Linked DNA regions of Oryzias latipes. The protein of the gene in region 1 purifies or fractionates together with the protein of each later gene. This does not show direct contact. Links are inferred from orthologs where the notes say so. Each region holds a gene or a part of one and is shown in the gene's direction. Other genes may lie near its edges.

Evidence for each region.
Region 2: the proteins of hectd1 (region 1) and smc4 purify together in Homo sapiens (affinity purification with western blotting; 3 studies listed by BioGRID, with this or other methods). This does not show direct contact. The link is inferred for Oryzias latipes from reciprocal best matches to the Homo sapiens genes HECTD1 and SMC4.

The regions. Positions count from the first base shown.
Region 1 is NC_019880.2:2,631,283-2,640,962, reverse strand, and holds the start of hectd1 (E3 ubiquitin-protein ligase HECTD1), read left to right. Parts: upstream 1-141; 5' UTR 142-483; intron 484-5,675; 5' UTR 5,676-5,780; intron 5,781-6,128; 5' UTR 6,129-6,138; coding exon 6,139-6,278; intron 6,279-6,352; coding exon 6,353-6,587; intron 6,588-8,141; coding exon 8,142-8,369; intron 8,370-8,450; coding exon 8,451-8,732; intron 8,733-8,799; coding exon 8,800-9,070; intron 9,071-9,196; coding exon 9,197-9,273; intron 9,274-9,680. UniProt on the Homo sapiens protein: E3 ubiquitin-protein ligase which accepts ubiquitin from an E2 ubiquitin-conjugating enzyme in the form of a thioester and then directly transfers the ubiquitin to targeted substrates.
Region 2 is NC_019871.2:13,487,995-13,498,117, forward strand, and holds the start of smc4 (structural maintenance of chromosomes protein 4), read left to right. Parts: upstream 1-3,385; 5' UTR 3,386-3,429; intron 3,430-3,507; 5' UTR 3,508-3,564; intron 3,565-4,708; 5' UTR 4,709-4,718; coding exon 4,719-4,860; intron 4,861-4,881; exon of another isoform or gene 4,882-5,044; coding exon of another isoform or gene 5,045-5,114; intron 5,115-5,790; coding exon 5,791-5,981; intron 5,982-7,306; coding exon 7,307-7,498; intron 7,499-8,452; coding exon 8,453-8,629; intron 8,630-9,136; exon of another isoform or gene 9,137-9,239; intron 9,240-10,123. Other genes in the region: ift80 (intraflagellar transport protein 80 homolog), read right to left, coding at 1,862-2,083, 2,488-2,524. UniProt on the Homo sapiens protein: Central component of the condensin complex, a complex required for conversion of interphase chromatin into mitotic-like condense chromosomes.

The DNA.
Region 1 (9,680 bases):
TTCTGCAGCACACATAAAAACACTGCATAAATCAATCATTTCTGTTTAGAATTAGTGCCACGGAAAATATGGTAATGGTTTGTGTTTAAGCTTTAAATGGTGCAGGCAGTTGTAACATGTAGTGTTTACTTTTCCTTAATTGTTGTAAAGTTATTTTAATGTTGTAGTTAAAAATGTCAGTTTTCCTCCAGTCATTGTGTTCCCCTGAGGGCATTTGAGCGGTGGAATTTCCGAGCTCGACAGCAGCCCTGAACGCCGCAGACTTGGCTCAGTTCTCGCTCTCAGTCCGGTCGGCTGAGCTCTGCTTACCGGCCCGCTGAGCTGAACTGTGTCGCCGCCTGGGATCAGCTCAAAAGAAATGGGAGTGCCTTGATTTCAGCACCAACACCGGCAAAACGAACGACTGGGAACGTCTTCGTTTGGACGCGAAAAATAGCAGCTCGGCGTATCGGTTCTTTGACGGAGAAAAACTTCGTCCTTAAGGTAAGGGGGGGGGGGTCTGGGCCCGGTGTCGCTTGTGATGAGCCTCCGCAACTGCTGCGCGGCCTCGCGGCTCTCCTGGAACTCGAGGGCCGCGGATCGCTTACACCGTAGTAGGCCACAAGTACTTTTAACGTATAATTACGAAATTATCGGAATGACTCACGCTGTGATACTTTGCGTTTTGTAGTAAGAACGCGACAACTCGAAGTGCATTTGGCTAATTTTTTAAGTGAAAAGCTGAAATCGGCACACTCGGATTGAGATAAGCTACTCTGCCGTGCTAATGACCGTTAACCGGCTAACACGGGCTCACGTCTGCCATCATCATTCGAGGCTGTTGACACACATTTCAGGACAGTTTTAGGTTTCCAGTTTATACTCTGGTGTTACATAGTAGCTGAGCGACACGTTCGAAACTGTTTTAAAAATTGCTGTCAGGAATAATCGACATAAATATAATTCTTTTTGTTATCCAGCGTTGCGGCTAACTCCTAGCAGATCTCAGCTCAGTCTATCCTCTTATGTTTGATAAAATAATCAGGCAGCTGTTGCCCCGTTACTAGCTCCGTCAGACCTTGCTGGGCGACGCAGTTTCTGTTTTTTTTTTTTTTCCTTTTTCTTCTGTGGGGTCTCAACAAATTAAAACCCAATTTGTGTGTGTTGTTTGCTTGTTGACGTTGTGTTAACCGGGAGTCACAGTTGACCGAGCTGTAACCGTGCCAACAGCGCGTGCCGTCCTGGATCCGTGACGTCTCGGACCACAGCTGCTCACATCAGGCTGTGACACACACACATACACGCACACGCGCAGCCAAAGGGGACAAAACATCTGCCGGGAATTTGACTTTTCTCTGGGCAGTCACCAAACCTAAACTGTTCAACCTCCGTCCGGTTGGTACTTCTGTCATGTAAACACAAACACTGTAATTTTAGTTTTGTAGATTCACATCAGGGATATTTACATCTAAGAGCGGCTATAGTTCCCCAAACGCATCCGGTTTCTTCATATTCAGACTGGAGGCTTTGTTTTTCCTTTGAAACAGGTTTTCTTAGAAACCTCAAACGGGTCTGAGAAAAGCAGGCACACAAAAACTTGTTTTACTTTAAACCTTAAAATTGTCTGTAATAATTTAAACTTTTTTCAGAAATCAAACATTAACTTCAATTCCTAAATTTGCTGAATTTGTTTTATTGCTTTACTGATGTGCAGCGTTTGGATATTGTCAACCGACTACATTAAACCAAAACAAACTGAGCTCTAGAATATTGAAAGATAAAGGAAAAAAAGATGTAAAAAATCTGGGATTCATTCAGGAGCAGCTGACGAGGCCAAAACCTCTTTTAACTAATCGTGCAAATATCATATTTACAATGTTACAGTAATCCTAGCAGCTGAGTGTGTACACTGCCACAAACGGTAGCCTAAAACTAGGAAAAGAACACTAATCTAAGAAGAAAATCCCTAGAAAGTAGTAAAATTATCTGCCCACGCATCAAGTAATCTTTACTTGAAAAGAAATCTGATAAGATATCAAACTCTAGAAACAAGCATAAAACATGGAAAAATTAAGCTAAAAAAGCTAACTTTTTAATATAATTACTTAAAATTAAATGTTAGTTAGTTAATAGCCCAATAAGAAGTTTCTTTTTGTTGAGTCTAAGTAAGTAGTTTGTTTTGGAGTTTTCTTGTACCCAATTGTAGTTTTTATATTGACTACAGTGACTAATCTAGTGTAATAAGTGAAAATGACTGATTTTAGAACAAACTGAGTGAAATAAGAATATGAGCTTAGTTCAAATGGGCCCATCATACTAAATCCTTCTAAAAACTAAAACTAGCTCTTATTCATAGAACATAAATTAAAATATTTGTTTCCAAAATAGATACAACCAAAGCCTGTTTAATATTTAATGAGCTTTTAAATCCTTAAAATTGAACCAAATTTACAGTGCAATTTGATTATTTCTTTTCAAGTCTTTAATCAAGTTTATTCTATTGTCAAGAGTTTGGAGCAAAATGATTTTGACTCACCTTAATAATAATTTCCTTATTTTTTAATTCTAACAGACAAAAATTCTCCATTGTGCTGATTTTGAGAAAAGCTAGAAGTTAAAACAACTTTAAACCTGGTAAAATGCCTTGAATGTCTAAAAACAAGGTTTGAAATCTTCGCAAGGATCAAATAGCTTGTGCTGTGGTTATTGTGGTTTAATGCAGTGAAATATTGAAATATTATTAATAGGCTGCTTTCATAAGCAGATTGATCTTTGAATGCTGTTTTATTAATGACCAGATCAATGTGTTTCCTAGAGTCAAACTCTCCTTGAACTGCACAGTCCATGAGTTTTCTGCAGTTCAGAACCATTAGCTGTTTTCACTTTAATATAGATCATTCTTTTAATAAAAGATCTCTGGCACCAATTTGTTTTTGTTTTTTTTAATAGTTTTGACAACATAAAGCTTCAACATTAAGGAAGAATCAGTTATACTAATCAATTCCTAATACTATAGTAATATAGAAATTGATGGATCACTTATGTGAGCATTTAGTAGTTGTTTGTGACAAATTTTCCATAATTTTGCTGTAAATTTTGACTTGAATTTTGAATTGACTTGTCAGCTTTTGGGGAAGATGCTTATCTTTAGCGCCACATGAATGAACAAACAAAAGATGCTGAAAAGAGGAGCATCTTATTTATGTCTCACAAAAACGGACAACTGTGATATTGACAAGTTCCCCTAACCTTTTTGAAGTTTTAAGTACATTTGTTCATTCACATTAGGGCTGGACGATATGGCCTAAAAATAAAATCTCCGATTTTATTGTTTTTTTTAACCCCCCCACAGACACACACATTTAAGGAAAGCAACAAGTACAAATGGCAGACAACTTAAGTTAAAGCAAATTTTGCTTTTATTTAAGCAAACGCAATGGGATGAATACTAAATAAATGATCACACTCTTGGAATCAAAGTCCCAGCTGTGTTTTGAGTCCCACTTTGTAGTCTAGACTAAAAGGAGACAAACATTCACCTTGAGAGTAGCACCATTTTCTAAAACAATACAGTTCATATCTGGGGGCTAAGGTTTTAATTAAACTAATAAACCCCGTCTTCTCCATGGTATATATGGGTACCATGTCTTTGGCTATATGCAAAGCGACCGCTTCGATGATTGTTCTCCACCGTGCCCCTTTCCTATGGATTGGTACCGAGCCCCGGTATTGAACGAGCCCCGGGGCAACATTCTTCAAGCCCGCGGTCTCTGTAAGATCTGACCTCAACGGTTCTGCTATCGGTACCGGAGAAGTCGCCTTTTTTTTGGTGTCCCTCAAAATATAAACTAGAGCTGTGACGGTATGGGATTTTTGATCACCGCGGTGATGAAGCAGCAGGAGTCGCGGTCAACCGCACCCAAATGCGGTTGCAAACCAAATGCGCCATTGCACAAAAACTGGATTTAGTTATTTTTTAAATCGCCCGTAACAAAAAATTCGAATTAATTAATTCAATCGATTTTTCGCTCAGGCCTAATTCATATTAATCATTTGATTTTGTCGTCTTGCAGTAGTGAGTATTCTGCTTGTTTTAGAGGGAAGTTTGTCGCATGTATATCCTGTACCAAATAATGTTGAGCCATTTTCCACACAAGTTTGTAGTTTAGTGTTGAGTGTTCACTTATTATGCTGTCGTCACCTTTAGCGCTTCCAATATCTGATTTAAATGGTTCCGTCAGCATTCGGCACCGACTTACTTATTTGAAGTTGGCGTGGATGTTCCAGTTATTGTTCTGATCAGCTGATTTTACACACTACCTTAGACACCGACACCGTTTTCCTGAAAGTCATGTCAGGTTCAGGGAGGGAGGTCTACTGCTCCTGGACAAGTGGAGACAAGGAGCTCATTCACTGTGCTAAGGAATCAAGCAGCCTAACTGTCTGTGCCCTCAGATAAGGTACCAACGTCTCAAAATAAATCTAGAAGTTAGAAAGTAGCAGCCAGTTACTGTTGTACTTGTTTCTCCAGAGAAAAAGCTCCTTCAAACATGCATCTTGAGGAGTTTTGACCAAAATATTTCTCTAAAACATTTCAGGATGAAACTGAATGTCCACCATGGCATGTCAGTCGGGTCTGGACCTTCACTGCATCTTCGTTCTGTTTGTGACCCAGTTTGAGCTCAGCTTTAGCTGTTGTACTGATGGACCCACATGAATATACTCTGATTGTGAAGGACATCATGCTCCTCTCACAGCAGAGGCTCCAGGAAATGAATGATCTTCATGTTTGACCGTCACCACCTGGAGTGACTTTTTATCATGGAGGTGTTCGGACGCCGATGTTGACCAGAAGTACTTTGTCAAACATTACCTGAGCTTTCCAAACCCACTGTGTTACCATGTTCATTTCAGAACAAAAGTGTCCTAAAAAGGAGACTTTGTGTCTTTAGGATTTATTTTTAAAAAAACAGAGGAACAGTTTGAGGGGGGAAAAAATTTCTGCTAATCCTTTCAAACAAGCTACACATCTGACATGTTTATTCAAGCCTGTTCATGAAGCTTATTGTGTTTACATTTATAACTAATCTCATTTAGACTCACATGGTCATAAATCAATTCAAATTACAATCAAATCTCGTTCAATTCAACATGAATTTGTCAAATTTCTGCTAGATTTAAATAACTTTTCTAAAATCAAACAAAAAGGATTTAATAGAATCAAAGTAAATGGTAAATGGCGTATACTTATATAGTGGCTTTCTTCCTACAAGGACAAAGCGCTTTACAGTCAACGACACATTCACCCAGTGACACACACATTCACTCACACATTCACACACTGGTGGCGGCTCCGCTGCCAAACACAGGCGCTCGCCTACCACCAGAGGCAAGGTGGGGTTCAGTGTCTTGCCCAAGGACACTTCGACTCATGGGCGTGCATGAGTCGAATTGTAGATAAGATATGAATTGTACTAATAAAGCTTTTAAATTTCAATAAAAACAAGGGAAACAAGAGTTCACTGACAGGTTTGGACAGAACTTGGCTTGACCACATCTGGTTGGTTTTATGAACTGATCTGTTGATCAGTATCTTCAAATGGAGTTTTTACAGTTTTTGATGCGACTTTTGAATCCAGGCTTCACAGGTAAAATCCCATTTTGGTGCACCTCTCACTCTCTTCCTGTCACCACAGAAACCTGCCCCCTCCATCTCATTGGTTGGATGAACACCAAACAGCGTCTCAGCTGTGACCAGTGATTGGGCACTGAGCCAGACGGGGCAGCCAGAGGACAGCCAGGTGAGCCTTTTATCTTTAACTATTAAGATGGGAGAATGACAGACACTGGAGATGCATGAAGATCCACTTTGTCACTTAGTGCCCTCCCAGTGCCAAAGAGAGGTTCAGAGAAATGCAGCCGGTTCTAAGTGATGCTTTGGGGTTTGGAAAGCAAAGTCCTCAGGCTGCACACGCAATGCTTTAAAAACAACTACCAAATAGACAACTTTTCTGACAGAAACTTTAAATTTTGAGCTCAGGGTTTCATATAATATTGATAATTAAGGCAATTAGAAATGACCCAGATCCCTGACAAACAATCCAACTTCGTCAAAGATGAAGTCTGACGTGGGTTTGTTTATCTGCCAGGCTTGCCATCATGGCGGATGTGGACCCAGACACGTTGCTGGAGTGGCTGCAGATGGGACAGGGCGATGAGCGGGACATGCAGCTCATCGCCTTGGAGCAGCTCTGCATGCTGCTGCTCATGTCGGACAACGTGGACCGCTGCTTTGAGACGTGAGCTTTCCTGTTTTAAGAGCCGCAGACGCTCGTGTGCTCAGACCTTTGAACTCCATCTTCCTGTCTGTCAGATGTCCTCCTCGAACGTTCCTCCCAGCGCTTTGTAAGATCTTCTTGGACGAGAGCGCTCCTGATAACGTGCTGGAGGTCACGGCCAGAGCCATCACCTACTACCTGGACGTGTCGGCAGAATGCACGCGGAGGATCGTGGGTGTGGACGGGGCCATAAAGGCCCTGTGCAACCGGCTGGTGGTGGTGGAACTCAACAACAGGACCAGCAGGGATCTGGCTGAGCAGTGTGTTAAGGTAAGAGACTTGGCTGTTGCAGCAGAGAACCTGAGACCTTCAAAACCTCTAAAATCTGCATAACATGGAAATATTACCAAGTCTTTTAGGAAGGTAAATTGCTTGTTCAGTTTCAGTTCTGGCTGCTCCATGTTCCCTGTTCCTTCATGGATGATTGATGGAGGAATTGTTGCTGTGGACCATATCGTCCTAAAATGAACAGACGTGTTGTCGGTTCCTAAATCTCTTTAGCGCAGACGACCATAACTGTCCTGGAGTCGTTGCAGCTGTTTTAAAGTCAGGAAAAATGTAATAAAAAATGCCTCCATCATGGTCTGTGTACATTGAAATAGTTGTAGTAATTTCATGAAAAGAGTACTGCGCTTTATGTGAAGCATGAATCACTGGGAGATGGAGGGCAGAGCACAGGTTCTGAGGATTCTGTCATTGCCTTCTAAAAAGATGATTACCTCAAATCTAACAAGATCCATTAGTTTTCTGGTGTGACAGAGTTCTTCTTAACATTGGAAAATAGACATTTCAAAAAAACATAGCCCAGTCAGTAATGTCAAAATAAAATGAAACATGGGATTTTACTGGTCCTAAGCTAAAGAAAGAATACAGCCGTCACTTCTGCACGGGTTACTTGTTACCACCAGTGTAACCAACACTGGCCTCAATGGAACCAGAGCCTTATAAGCCCCTCCCACAGGCCAACTAAACAAATATTGCTTTTTCCAAAGGCATTTTTACCTTTGCCTTGCAAATATTCATTCATTCATCTTCTAAACCTGTTTTCTCCCTTTTCAGGGCCTTGCAAATGTAATTTAGAAAAAACTTAAAGACATAGCAAAATTTTGAAGCAATTTATTTTATTTTAACGTCTACAATTTGAAAATAAGCTTAATTTGAAAATAATCATTCGCACAATAACAATTTTGACATGTGTCATCCATTCCCGTTTTCTGGTGTGAACATATTTGTATGATGATGTTTAGGAGGATCCGGTTTGAGAGTTTATGATGGGAATAGCTTGACGGGGATTGCAATTCTATTTCAGACCAAAGAAAATGAACTATTGGGATGAAATACAAGTGATGTATTTGTGTGTGTGTGCGCATGTGAGAGGAGGAGGGAGGGAGTGTCCGCTGCGATCCAGAGACACTGCAGGGGGACTGAGGAAAAAAACAACTTATGCTGACAATTTTGGCACCGTCATGTAACCTGTGATGTTGTTTCATCACATAAAAATGATTCAATTGTTTGTATTCTTGTTTATCTTAATCTTTTAGTCTCTGTTGAAGGAGGATTTCGGTCAGCTTTATCCCTTAATGTAAACACATCTTCATCATCTGCATTGCAGCTAAATCAACTGGGTTTTAGCTTCAATGCAGCAGCTCAGGTGCAGCTCCTGAGCTGCGTCTCAAACGCAGCGGTTTCTGTCCACGCTCATTAGATAAACACTGGTGAATTTTGCCTGCAACACTTCAGATGAATGGAGATGCCTTTAAAGAGCTCTAGCGTGATGTTAAAAAGTCCAGAACGGTTGTTTGAGTTTCAAACCTGTGACTGCAGGTGCTGGAGCTGATCTGTACCAGGGAATCTGGCGCCGTGTTTGAAGCCAGCGGTCTGAACTGCGTTTTGAGCTTCATACGCGACAGTGGTCACCTGGTCCACAAAGACACTCTGCACTCTGCAATGGCAGTGGTGTCTCGCCTCTGTAGCAAGATGGAGCCGCAGGACTCTTCTCTAGAAACCTGCGTGGAGTCTCTGTCCAGCCTCCTGAAACATGAGGATCACCAGGTAACCGGGCGGCACCCCCACCGGACACCAGCTGGTTCAGAAATGCAGCCTTCTGACTCAAAGACGCTTTCTGTCCTCCAGGTGTCAGACGGTGCTCTGCGTTGCTTCGCCTCATTGGCTGATCGGTTTACTCGTCGAGGCGTAGACCCCGCCCCTCTGGCCAAACATGGACTGACGGAGGAGCTGCTTTCCCGCATGGCGGCTGCCGGAGGTTCCGTGTCGGGCTCTTCTTCTGCCTGTAAACCAGGTCGGCCCTCCACTGGTGCCACACCGTCTGCCTCCGACTCCAAACTGAGCAACCAGGTGTCCACCATCGTTAGCCTGCTGTCCACGCTCTGCCGGGGGTCGCCAGTGGTCACTCATGTAAGTCCAGTTTTTTTTGTTTTTTTAAACAAAGTTGCCGTGTACTAAAGCTGAACCTGGTTTTCAGGACTTGTTACGTTCGGCACTCCCTAACTCCATGGAGTCTGCGCTGGGAGGAGACGAGCGCTGTGTGCTGGACACCATGCGGCTGGTCGACCTGCTGCTGGTGCTTCTGTTCGAGGGGCGGAAAGCGCTGCCAAAGTCCACCGCCGGCTCAGCAGGTCGGATCCCGGGGCTTCGCCGGCTGGACAGCTCAGGGGAGCGGTCGCACCGACAGCTCATCGACTGCATCCGCAGCAAAGACACGGACGCCCTGATAGATGCCATCGACACTGGAGGTGAGAGCGGCCGACGCACTACAGTTCCCATGAGCCTCTGCCTTCATGTAGAAACTGGAACTGAGGATCAAACGCGTGTGTGTCTGCTGCCTAAGACTTTTGATGACAGAGTTTGTTCTCTTTCAGCTTTTGAAGTGAACTTCATGGACGACGTGGGACAGACGCTGCTGAACTGGGCCTCAGCTTTTGGAACACAGGAAATGGTAAAAAAAAAAACTTTAAATCCGACTGGAGTTGAAGTTTAGACGGGCAGAGGTCTGCATCTGTTTGTTGATTAATGGGTTTTATATTGTGAATGTTATTGGGAAGACTCCTAACAAACTATTTTTTCAGAAACCGTTTAAGTCCATCTGTAATCAGCTTTTCACCTTTTCTGCTTTGATGTCTGTTGGCTGTGAATTATTTAGGCAGCAAAAAATAAATCAAAGTTAAACCCATAAAAGCAAAAGTGCAATGTTGCTGCAATAAACCATTATGTTTCATATTAGATTTTACGCAGAAGGAAATTCGCTTTCTACACTTTTTCTCGCCTTATCTGTTCAGATGCCAATGGAAAAGAAGGAACTTCTAAGTCACAGTGACTTCCTAACAGTTTCCTGCTTTTCTGGTG
Region 2 (10,123 bases), on another chromosome or scaffold:
AAATTCCAGATATGTAACCAGGGCTGCAGGACTGTAGCATGAAAACGTTTCTTATAGATATTTGAGAAAATGCTAAAGATCAATAACAGACTGATCCTTTTGCTAAATGTGTCAGGGCTCACAGTAGTTCAAAAAATGATTGTCATGCATTTCCCTTCTCATATTTCATGTAGTATTTATGGCAACAGCTATTTGTCTAGCTTGTGTAAACTATACTAAAGAAAGCAAGAGAAAGAAAGTTGCAAAAGGGAATCGCAACGAGTCTCTGGCATGCCAAAGTAAATTGCTGCATCCGTTTTGCAATTCAACACTGCCATTAGAGTTGTGACCACATATTGCCTACCACAGCAGTCCAATCATGCTCTTATGTGTTCATATCTACCGTAACATGCATGACACACCTTGGCACTGTCTGGATTGTTGCCTTTAGTGACAAACCAAGTCATCCAAAGGCAAATGAAACAGTATGGTATCCTCAAACTAAGGAATACAGAAATTAACCATTGTGTATTTACCCAAAAAGTATGAAAATTACTATCATTTGCTCAAAGTAGGCAACATCAAAACATCTATGTTGCATCATGAATGACACTACACTAATTTTTGCACTAGTTGCGCTGGAAACAATTTATTAAGTAATGAGTGCAACTGCGGATTCTCACATCTTTATAAAAGTTGAAATGTTGAAATAAATGACTTCTATGGGGTTCCTGAGGAAAACTGTTGGTAAGAAGACAACTGACTGCTACTAATTATATAGTTGGTAACATTTTTAGGGACATAATCTAACAAAGCCCTACGACAACCTGTCCAGGATGTCCCCTGTCTTGGCCCACGAGTGGCCAGGATAGGCTCCAGCAGCCACATGACCCAGAAAGGGACAAAGCAGATTTAGAAGATGAATGAGTGAGTGAATGAATGAATGAATGAATGAATGAATGAATGAATGAATGAATGAATGAATGAATGAATGAATGAATGATCTAACAAAAAGAGCATCTAGGAGAGGCAGGGCTCACGAACCAGTAGAACTGGGATTAAAAACAATCTGAATTTCAGAATATCCTTGCAATAAAGTTATTAAGTATTTGAATATCTCATCATCCAGCAAACACAAAATCATTTCTGTAAAAAAGATAAAAATAAGATAATGATTGCTAGATGCCCGGGATCTTTGGGTTCATTGGTCGAATTACAGAACAGGTATGATTCATGAAGGAACAAATGTAAAAACCGATATATAGGAACATATGCTGTCAAAAAATGAAAAGGGAAAACTGTTCACAGCAGTTTGGGTTTCAAAAGCAACATTTTTTCGTGTAGACAAATTATTATTTACACCTGACGAATTCAAATTCAACATCCATAATGATGGAAGCAGCAGAGATTTCTGCAAAAAAAAAAAGTTCACGTCTCTAAAAAAATTATATTTCAGGCAGAGCAACTTTTTCTTCTACCCACAAAACTTCTTTAGCATAAAAAGTCTTGCATCTTTCAGGAACATAATTCTAATCAACATGCAGTTTCGTCATAAAAGCATGGGCACTGAAAAAAAACATTTTTTGGTTTTGGCCAATCATCATTGAAACGCATCTGGCACATTGCGAAACGGCAAATGGAATTTTTATGCAGTGAAGTCCAAGTTTAATATCAGATAAAAATGCATTTTATTTTCATGGATTGAAGTTTAAAAAAAAGAGTCACAGCATGGCTGGTTACTTAAAACTTTTTACTATCCTGCAGTATTTTGTAAAATAAATAAATATATTTAAAAACGGCTGATTGAGTCTTTCACAACTTGATATGGACATACTGTTCATTTGCTTTTTAAGATGCAGAGTGGGTTTTATAAAATACTTGCCATCAGTGCTGGTGAGGACAAAGATTTCAGCTTGGGTTTGTCTCTTCCCACCAACAGTTTTGGGGAACCAGTGCATGTCCAGGGGGTAGATGTCCTCTGACAGCTTGACGACCACATTGGTTTCATTGTTCACCAGGTTCCACTTGAGGATCTGATGATCATCACTGCATGAGTACAGCTCATCGGCTGTGGTCCAACCTAAACAACTTACAAGATCCTTATGTGAGCTGGTGTTAAGAAAAATAATAAAAAAAAGGACAAATATTACAAATTCAGCTGATTGCATGTTTTCTACATAGATACCTAGAATCTGGAGAACCTGCCCCCAACCCCTTTATTTATTTTATTTTTTGTTTGTTTTGTTTTGTCTTCATTTTTTTCAGTAGAAAATGCAAATGACAAGGTTTATCATTGCTGCAGTGGTTCTTATCAGCAGAAATTTATTTTAGTTTGCAGAAATGTAGGACAGAAAATAATTTAAAAACAATCTTAAATTGAAGAACAGCAATAATACTATTAAAACGGGAACGTGAAATGTCACAGTTTTCAAAATATTTTGCCATTCAGCTCAAATCAAAGGCAATAAGTTATAAAACAAGAGGGATCACGATGCAATTAAAGGATATGTTTTGGTTCCTTCTGCAGCGTAGTTTTTAGTCTCATTGTTCTTGTCTCTCTGTTGAATCCTAAACAAACAAAACACACGTATGTCAGTTTTGAATCAACTCTTAAGTCAAGCTTAACATTAGAGGAAAATCCAACAAAGAGAGAAAATGCACCAACACCAAACAAGCGTCTAGTTGCTATGTTACCAGGCAGCCACTGTAGCTAACTAACTAAAATCATTACCTTTTAAAATCGCACGGGGGGCATTCTGATGACCGCACTTCTTTTATGTGCCTCTTATCAATGTGTGAAAGTCATTTGATATAGTTCGAATATTCGATACAAATGAACCAGGTCAAGCAGCGTTGATGAAGAAGCGTTTTGTTTTCATGACGTATGGAAGCTAACTTTTTAGCCATGAAATCTCGGATGAGTGAACGGTTGACAGCCAAGTCATCGCGAGAGTTGTAACAATTTGCAACCTCAGCGTGTACTTATAGAGGGTTTACTTTTTGAGTGACTAATACAAATTCATTCAGAAAATGATCTTTAAAGTAGGCTTGCGTTATTACTGAATAATGTGTTGATGATCTCGGTCACTTCCAAAAAATAATATAAACGTTTCCATGGGGCGGGACTTTATTTTACAGTAACCGAATGATTCGACAGTACTGAAAACACAACTCTTTTCTTAAAAGATATCCTTACTCAAAAAATGAAAATCGTAAGTGATGTCTTTTTATGAAATTGTCATTTATCGCTTTGTTACTGTTGCGCCTTTCTTATCACTGGTGGAGCGAGGCGGAGTTGGCTTCGTCCCCTTTTTTGAATTTTGTGTTTTTTTCACACTACCATTTGAAAGGTCCATGATGCTTTGCGAGAGTTTATAACGAATTTGGTTCGACGGCGCAGTTTAGGCGCCATTTACAAGACAAGTTTTTCGAGAAAGGAAGCGGCTCCGGGTGATACGGCACACGATTTTGTGGACTATTTTAGTGTATTTTTTGCTAGACCTTGGATTAACCTATTCTTCTTGAAAGGTTTGGACTGGATCGAAACAGAAAATCAGCGAAGGACTTTTTTTTCATTTGTGGAAGGTACATGAAGAAAAAATAGAAAAAAAATATTTACTGGGTTCCGTCTATTTGCTGAAATTCATAGCGGTCGTTGAAATTGAGACAAACCTTTAAGTAAGCCACAAATCCAACTATGTTTTAAAATAAAGTAAAAGGAAAAAATATAGCATTGGCAGGACATTGATAGTGTTACTACTACTTATTGACTTTTTTTTAGCGTTTTTTAATAATTGCAACAATAATGGATTCTTAACTTAAGCCCCTATAGCATTACTGTTTATATGTTTATTACAACCTATACCAGTTAAAGGTGGTAATATGTCGGTCTGCTCTGTGATGCTAAGTTTGACATAATGATTAGTTAGCACCCCCCCTCCCCCCTGCTAACCTAACTATTAGCCGAGGGAAAAAAAATCGTAGTAACTTTTAATGCGACATAGTCATCCGGTAACAAAACGATTACGAAAACATTCTTAAATCATGCTGCATGTACTGTAGGTTTGGTTAGTTATTCGAATACATTAACAAATCGCGTTAGATGGCCAACTTCAAATTATCATTCCGCCCTGAACATTAGAATTCAGGGACTGAAAGCTAGTTTGCAAGTTCGACTGTTATCTGTTGAGCTGCGCTTTCAGTAGTGGTCATCATAGAAAACTAGCAATTCAAGGCTCGACACGAATTTCTCTCCCTCTTTTTCTTTCTTTCTTTTTTTTTTTTTCAAATGGGTGACGTAAACTTTATTTTCCTTTTCGTTGTTACCCACCGTTAAACGTTAACGGTTAAGGCCAAAAAGCATTTTTCCAAAGTTTTGTAGTTGGCTAGTTTGTAACATTTTTTTACGGGGATTTGTTTTAAAAGCTAACCTTTTTTTGATCCTAGTAGTGTTAAGATGAATAAAAATCGCTGTAACACACTTTTCCATGTTTTTGTTTTTAGCAACTATTTAAACTTTTGGAAGGAAAAAACAAATAATAAACACAATGGTATATTATTAGGAAGGGCGGCAGTAAGATTTGACTGGTAATGGCAAACTCCTGACACATTAGTTGTGTGTGACTGACCGTAAAGTGGAGTTGAGAGATTGACAGACACAAAAACCACTCATGTGTCCCCCCCCCCCCCCCCATTTATTTTTTTATTTTTTTACCAATGACCCCTTTAGATTTCAAATCATGCCATCCAAAACCGCAAAGAGCTCAACCGCCTCTACCAAGCCAAGAGGAAAAGGGTCGCAGGATGTGTCTGAGGGTGATCTGGATGTACCCCCTCAAGAAACTAACTCCAATGGCCAAGAGGAGGCACCACCGACAACTGGCAAGTAACAAAGGCTGTTTTGGTGTCTGTGAATCTAAATAAGTTGTTCAGTCAATGGCTCTGCGTGTATTGCAGTATTGCTAGAGGCCAACTGGCACAGCTGTAAAGCTCCTTCCCCTCCTCTATCTTAAATTGAAAAGAGTAGCTGGGATGGCTGAGACGTTTTCTAAAGTGCAACATAGAAATGAAATCACTCCAGGATGATTTTCATATCGTCGAATGCATTTCTTCGCCCGATCTTGACGGCAAACGAGGTAATTTGCTTCGAAATGGTGTGTTTTTGTTGTGACGTAAAAACGGGATTTGTATTCATCATGCCTGCAACTTTTTTTTTTTTTTTTTGAACAGCGCGTGTGCTGCTCTCAAGATGCAATTGTTGAAGTTCATTGGTACATGAATCTGTTTAATAATTTTTTTTCCGCTAAATGTCTAGCTGCTATACTTTATTTTTGAAACACCGTCAATTCTTTTGTATATATGAGAACACAAAAGATTTTGAACCGATTCTTGAAGATCGTTGTAGATCTTCATGCAGAAAAGTTTTTCCTGTCTGTATTTCATTTAGCTGGGTGTAGTAACGACGTCGCTGATATAAACGCACTTCATTTATCCTGGAGGTGTCCGTGGCGCATCAAACCGGAGAGAGACTGCGTTTGTGAGCACTGATGTGTGCTCGTTCATGTCCGATCCGAGGCTTGACTCTTGCTTTCTGAACAAAGGGGGAAAAAAACGACGCCTGTCAACTTTCCCCGGAGTCGCTTGTCTGTCTGTGCGACTTGCCGACTGTGTTTTTGTTTGTTTGTTTTTGTTCTCCCCCCACCCCTCCCCCATGGGCCACTGTCCCGTCCCTATTACCCCCCCCCCCCCCCCACTCCCCACCTGAAGCGATTCGCACAGAAAAACTGAAAAGTGCCCTTTTCTGTGCCACAGATTCGGCAGAAGGGGAGGCTGCCGAGGCGGTCGATAATCGAAGTTTGGAGGAGATTCTCGGTAGCATCCCTCCACCCCCGCCCCCAGCAATGACCAATGAGCCGGGCGCTCCCCGCCTGATGATAACACATTTAGTGAACCGCAACTTTAAGTCGTACGCAGGCGAGCAGATTCTGGGGCCTTTTCACAAGGTACGACCAAAACTTGATTCTAATCTACCATGTGTCCTGAATATATTTAACTATGTACTTAGATTACATTTAGTGCAGTGACGTGCGGTGAGGTTAATGGCTGGTGAGGCACTGACGTCATCAGTCAGATTTACAAACATATGAACCATACTGATTAATTTATTCTCCATTTGATTGACAACAGTTAAGGTGTTTTGTTTAAAATATCATTTCAACATGTTTTTTTTCATATACAAAACGCAGCATAGAAAAAAGCACAAACATTATTATCGTCTTACCTTTACTTGTAACTAAAGTCCATACGCCGCTCTTTCGGAAGAAAATGACTTGCCGCTTGCTATCACTTATTCTATTATTTTTTTAGCGTCATAATCTCAAGGCTCACCGGCGCCCCCTAACGTGAGGCACGGGAACTTCTGGCCTCACCCAGCGGCTTTTTCGCCGGCGTTTAGCGCTCAGCACAAGAAACACGTCCCTCACATACAGTTATTTATAAAAACAAACACTGTACATCATATACATCTGCTAAATTATGCAAACTCAGCTCATACAGTACAAGTGATTGAACCGACATACAGAGAGACAGCAGTACCGTCTGACTGCATAGGTATTGCGCAATCCAAGGTGAGGCTCAGCGGGCTGGTGCCTCATCGCACGTCACTTCTTAGTATCTGAACGGCAAATGCGGAAATTCAGCGATTTTGAAAAGAAAAAACACCCAAAATTGGTACATTTAAATGGAAAATGACTGCAAAGCACAAATTACTGATTAAATATAATAGTTGAATTTATTTTTTCTCTTTTCTTCCCATGACAGGTGAGGCACAGCCTCACCTGCCTCTCCTGACTGCACGTCACTGATTTAGTGTAACTGTTACTATCCAAGTCTTATTCATTTGATACTATTTTTTTTCTTGTCTGAAATCTTAGGTCACCTTTCTAATAAATGTGTCTTATTGAAATCTATAAAAAAATAAGATTATTAGTAAAAATGTTTAGAGAGAAAAATCCTTAAAAAAAGAGGAAGAAGTCACACTCCTCCATTTTGATTTAGTGTTTCTCTCAGTTTCTGAAAATCTACTGGTGTAATCACATTTAATGAAACTTTTTAAATGTTTTTTTCTTTAAAAAAAATCTTTTTCAGTCGCCTCATGTCCATGCAAGTTTCATATTGCTAAATTTAAGTGTTTAAATCTATATTAGACTTGTGTGTGGTGTCATCGCTGTTACTGACAGCTGTTGTTGAATCTTAATCTCTTGTATGTTTCATATGGATGATGCATTCATTTTTATTTATTTATTTTTGTCTCCTAATTTCTTCCCAGCGCTTTTCCTGCATCATTGGTCCAAATGGAAGCGGCAAGTCTAATGTGATAGACTCCATGCTCTTTGTGTTTGGATACAGAGCTCAAAAGATAAGATCAAAAAAGCTTTCAGTGTTGATTCACAGCTCTGATAAACACAAAGATGTGCAAAGCTGTACTGTGGAGGTGCATTTTCAAAAGATCATTGATAAGGTATACAGATATTTATAAACACTTTTTTTTTTTACACACAAATACAAACTTCACTAAAATGATCAGTTTGTTGTTCAAACAAACAAAAAAAAAATCACCAGAAATATTTTAGTTGGGCAAAAATGAATTTTTAAAATGTATTTGTTCTTTGTCGTTTCTAATGCAGTAATATTGCTGCTCAATTCTTCTTCTAGTGACCAAGTGTAAACTTAAATCAGTTGTGAAAGTTACTGGAACTCCCACACGTGCCACATTTGAGTCATTTTGCCCTAAAATTGATCTGATGGCAATGAAGGGAAAGAGATAAACAAATGCATTTATTGCCTCTGCTTTTTTTCATGGTGGCAAAAAAAAAAAAAAAGCAGTAGTGTTTGCTTTAGGTAGGATGTAATAACAGGCTGCTGTAACCACCAACTGTGAGCTACATTTTCCCCCCAATTAGAAAATTTTTTATAAATTAAATTAGCCATAGGGACTGTGAATTTGATCACACTGCTGAAGCTAAAATGTTGTGTATTTTTTAATAAACATTGATTTGTCTTAAAATTGGCACAAACTGAGAAATCTGTCAGTTTTGTATTTACAATCATTCCTTAAAACTACAGGGTTTTTTCTTTCAGCGATGTGCACACGGCCTTAAATAAATAGCCTTTTTTCTTCTTTCAACTAAACATTTTTACCCAATCCGTTTATCTTTTGTAGTTACAAGTTTAGGAAGCTTACGATGCAATACACTCCAATACACATTTAGTGTTTTATCTTATCCTTTGCCTTTATAGATGTAGTGCATTCTCATAAACAATATTTTATGTGTGTGTTTTTCTATGTAGGCCTTGTTAATAAGTGAATCTGTCAGTGTTGGAACAGTTTGACGTGTTGGGCTGTTTCAGCCTCTCCTGAACTGTTCTGTTCTAAGCTGCTGTGTCTTCTGCCCCTCCCCCCCCCCCGAGCCAGGAAGGAGATGACTACGAAGTCATCCCCAACAGCAAATTCTACGTTTCCAGGACTGCCAACAAAGACGGTTCCTCAGCCTACCATATCAATGGCAAGAAAGCCACATTTAAAGAAGTGGGGGCATTACTACGAAGTCACGGTATTGACCTCGACCACAACAGGTTTCTGATTTTACAGGTAATTATTTAGTGTTTTTCTTGTATTCTTTCCTTTTTTCCTCTTATCCTGCAAGTCCAAAAAACTTTATTTTTTTTTGAATAATCATGCCATTCTGTCATTTATCTTTTTTTATTATTATTTTTTTATTTTTTTTAGTGCAATTCTCAGGTTCTTTTTTGCTTAAATGTTTCTCATGTACCTGTAGGCCATGTCTGGAAATGTCATGGAATATGCTGTGGTGTCATAGAAAAGAACTGGGGAGGGGTTGCCCTCTGCAAGACCTTAGAATGCTGTAGCAGCGCATCATGGTTTGAAACAGTCAGAAAAAAGTGCGAACCATTATTTGCTGCTTTAGAATTTTAAGGAAAAAATGCAAAAAATTGAAATTCTCCCACATAAACCTGAATGTCAGTTGCTAAACTATTTGCTAGCTTAACAGAGTTTTTTTATATTTTTAATATTTTTTTTATTTTAATTTTTTTATTTTTGTGGATCCACTAATGGCGATGAGGTGGACCCTTCCTTTTTCAATATACCTGCTACGCTGTAGCAGCACGTAAATATTGGCGTGTGAAAAAAGCCCCCAACCCCAATATTAGCAGTGCTGCTTCAGTGTGACGGGATCAAACATCCTCTGTTGCCAGGACTTTAACTATCTGTCTTGGTTCACGTTTTGTTCTATTACTGTAATTCATGGTATACTATGGTCCTACATTATTCTTGGTTAAAAAGATTTACGGTAACCAAGTTTAAATCGTCTCACCTGTCATAATTTTCTTCTTAATATTTTAATTTTCTTTTTCATTTAATTGTATTTTTTACCTACCATAAAATAAAAAATAAAATATTGAAAAACTTTTCCAAGAAAAAAATGTAATCTCACTTTATAATCAATTATTTCACATCTTTTTTTTTTTTTTTTAATAAAAAGTGTTGTGTTTTTTCTTTTTTCCTCTAAATCTGCCCGTCTATATTCCTTCTCCTTACACAACCCTGTTTTTGGCATGGCTCCATGACTATGGGAAGAGTCTTGAGCTTGGCTTCAAGGTCACTTTTCCAGACCTTTAGCAAAAGGGGAAGCGGTGTCATTTGTGCTCCAATCAGGACAGAAGGATGTGGGGTTAGATCTCCCTTCTTCCTTGAGCTTATTTGTTTCATCAACATACAGTAATGTCTGATCTACTTTTTACCCTGCATATAAATCAACCCTGGGTTAAGCAAGTGTGTTATATGACAAAAATCAGGTCAGTGATGAGTGTTTGAATTGAACTAGATGTTTTCTCTTGTTGTTTTTGAATTGTTTGCCAGATTACTTAAAGTAGTTTCGTAAAATCTGTGTGAAATCAGAATTGTTCATTTACCATCAAACTTTGACTTTATTAGATTAATTTAAGTAAAAGAAAATACGTTCCACTGTAGTTAAAGGAACTGAAACATGTTTACTGCTACAAAAAATTGTTTCAGAAATATAGCAAAACGGCTTTTTTTTCACAAGAACAATGGCTTTTGAAT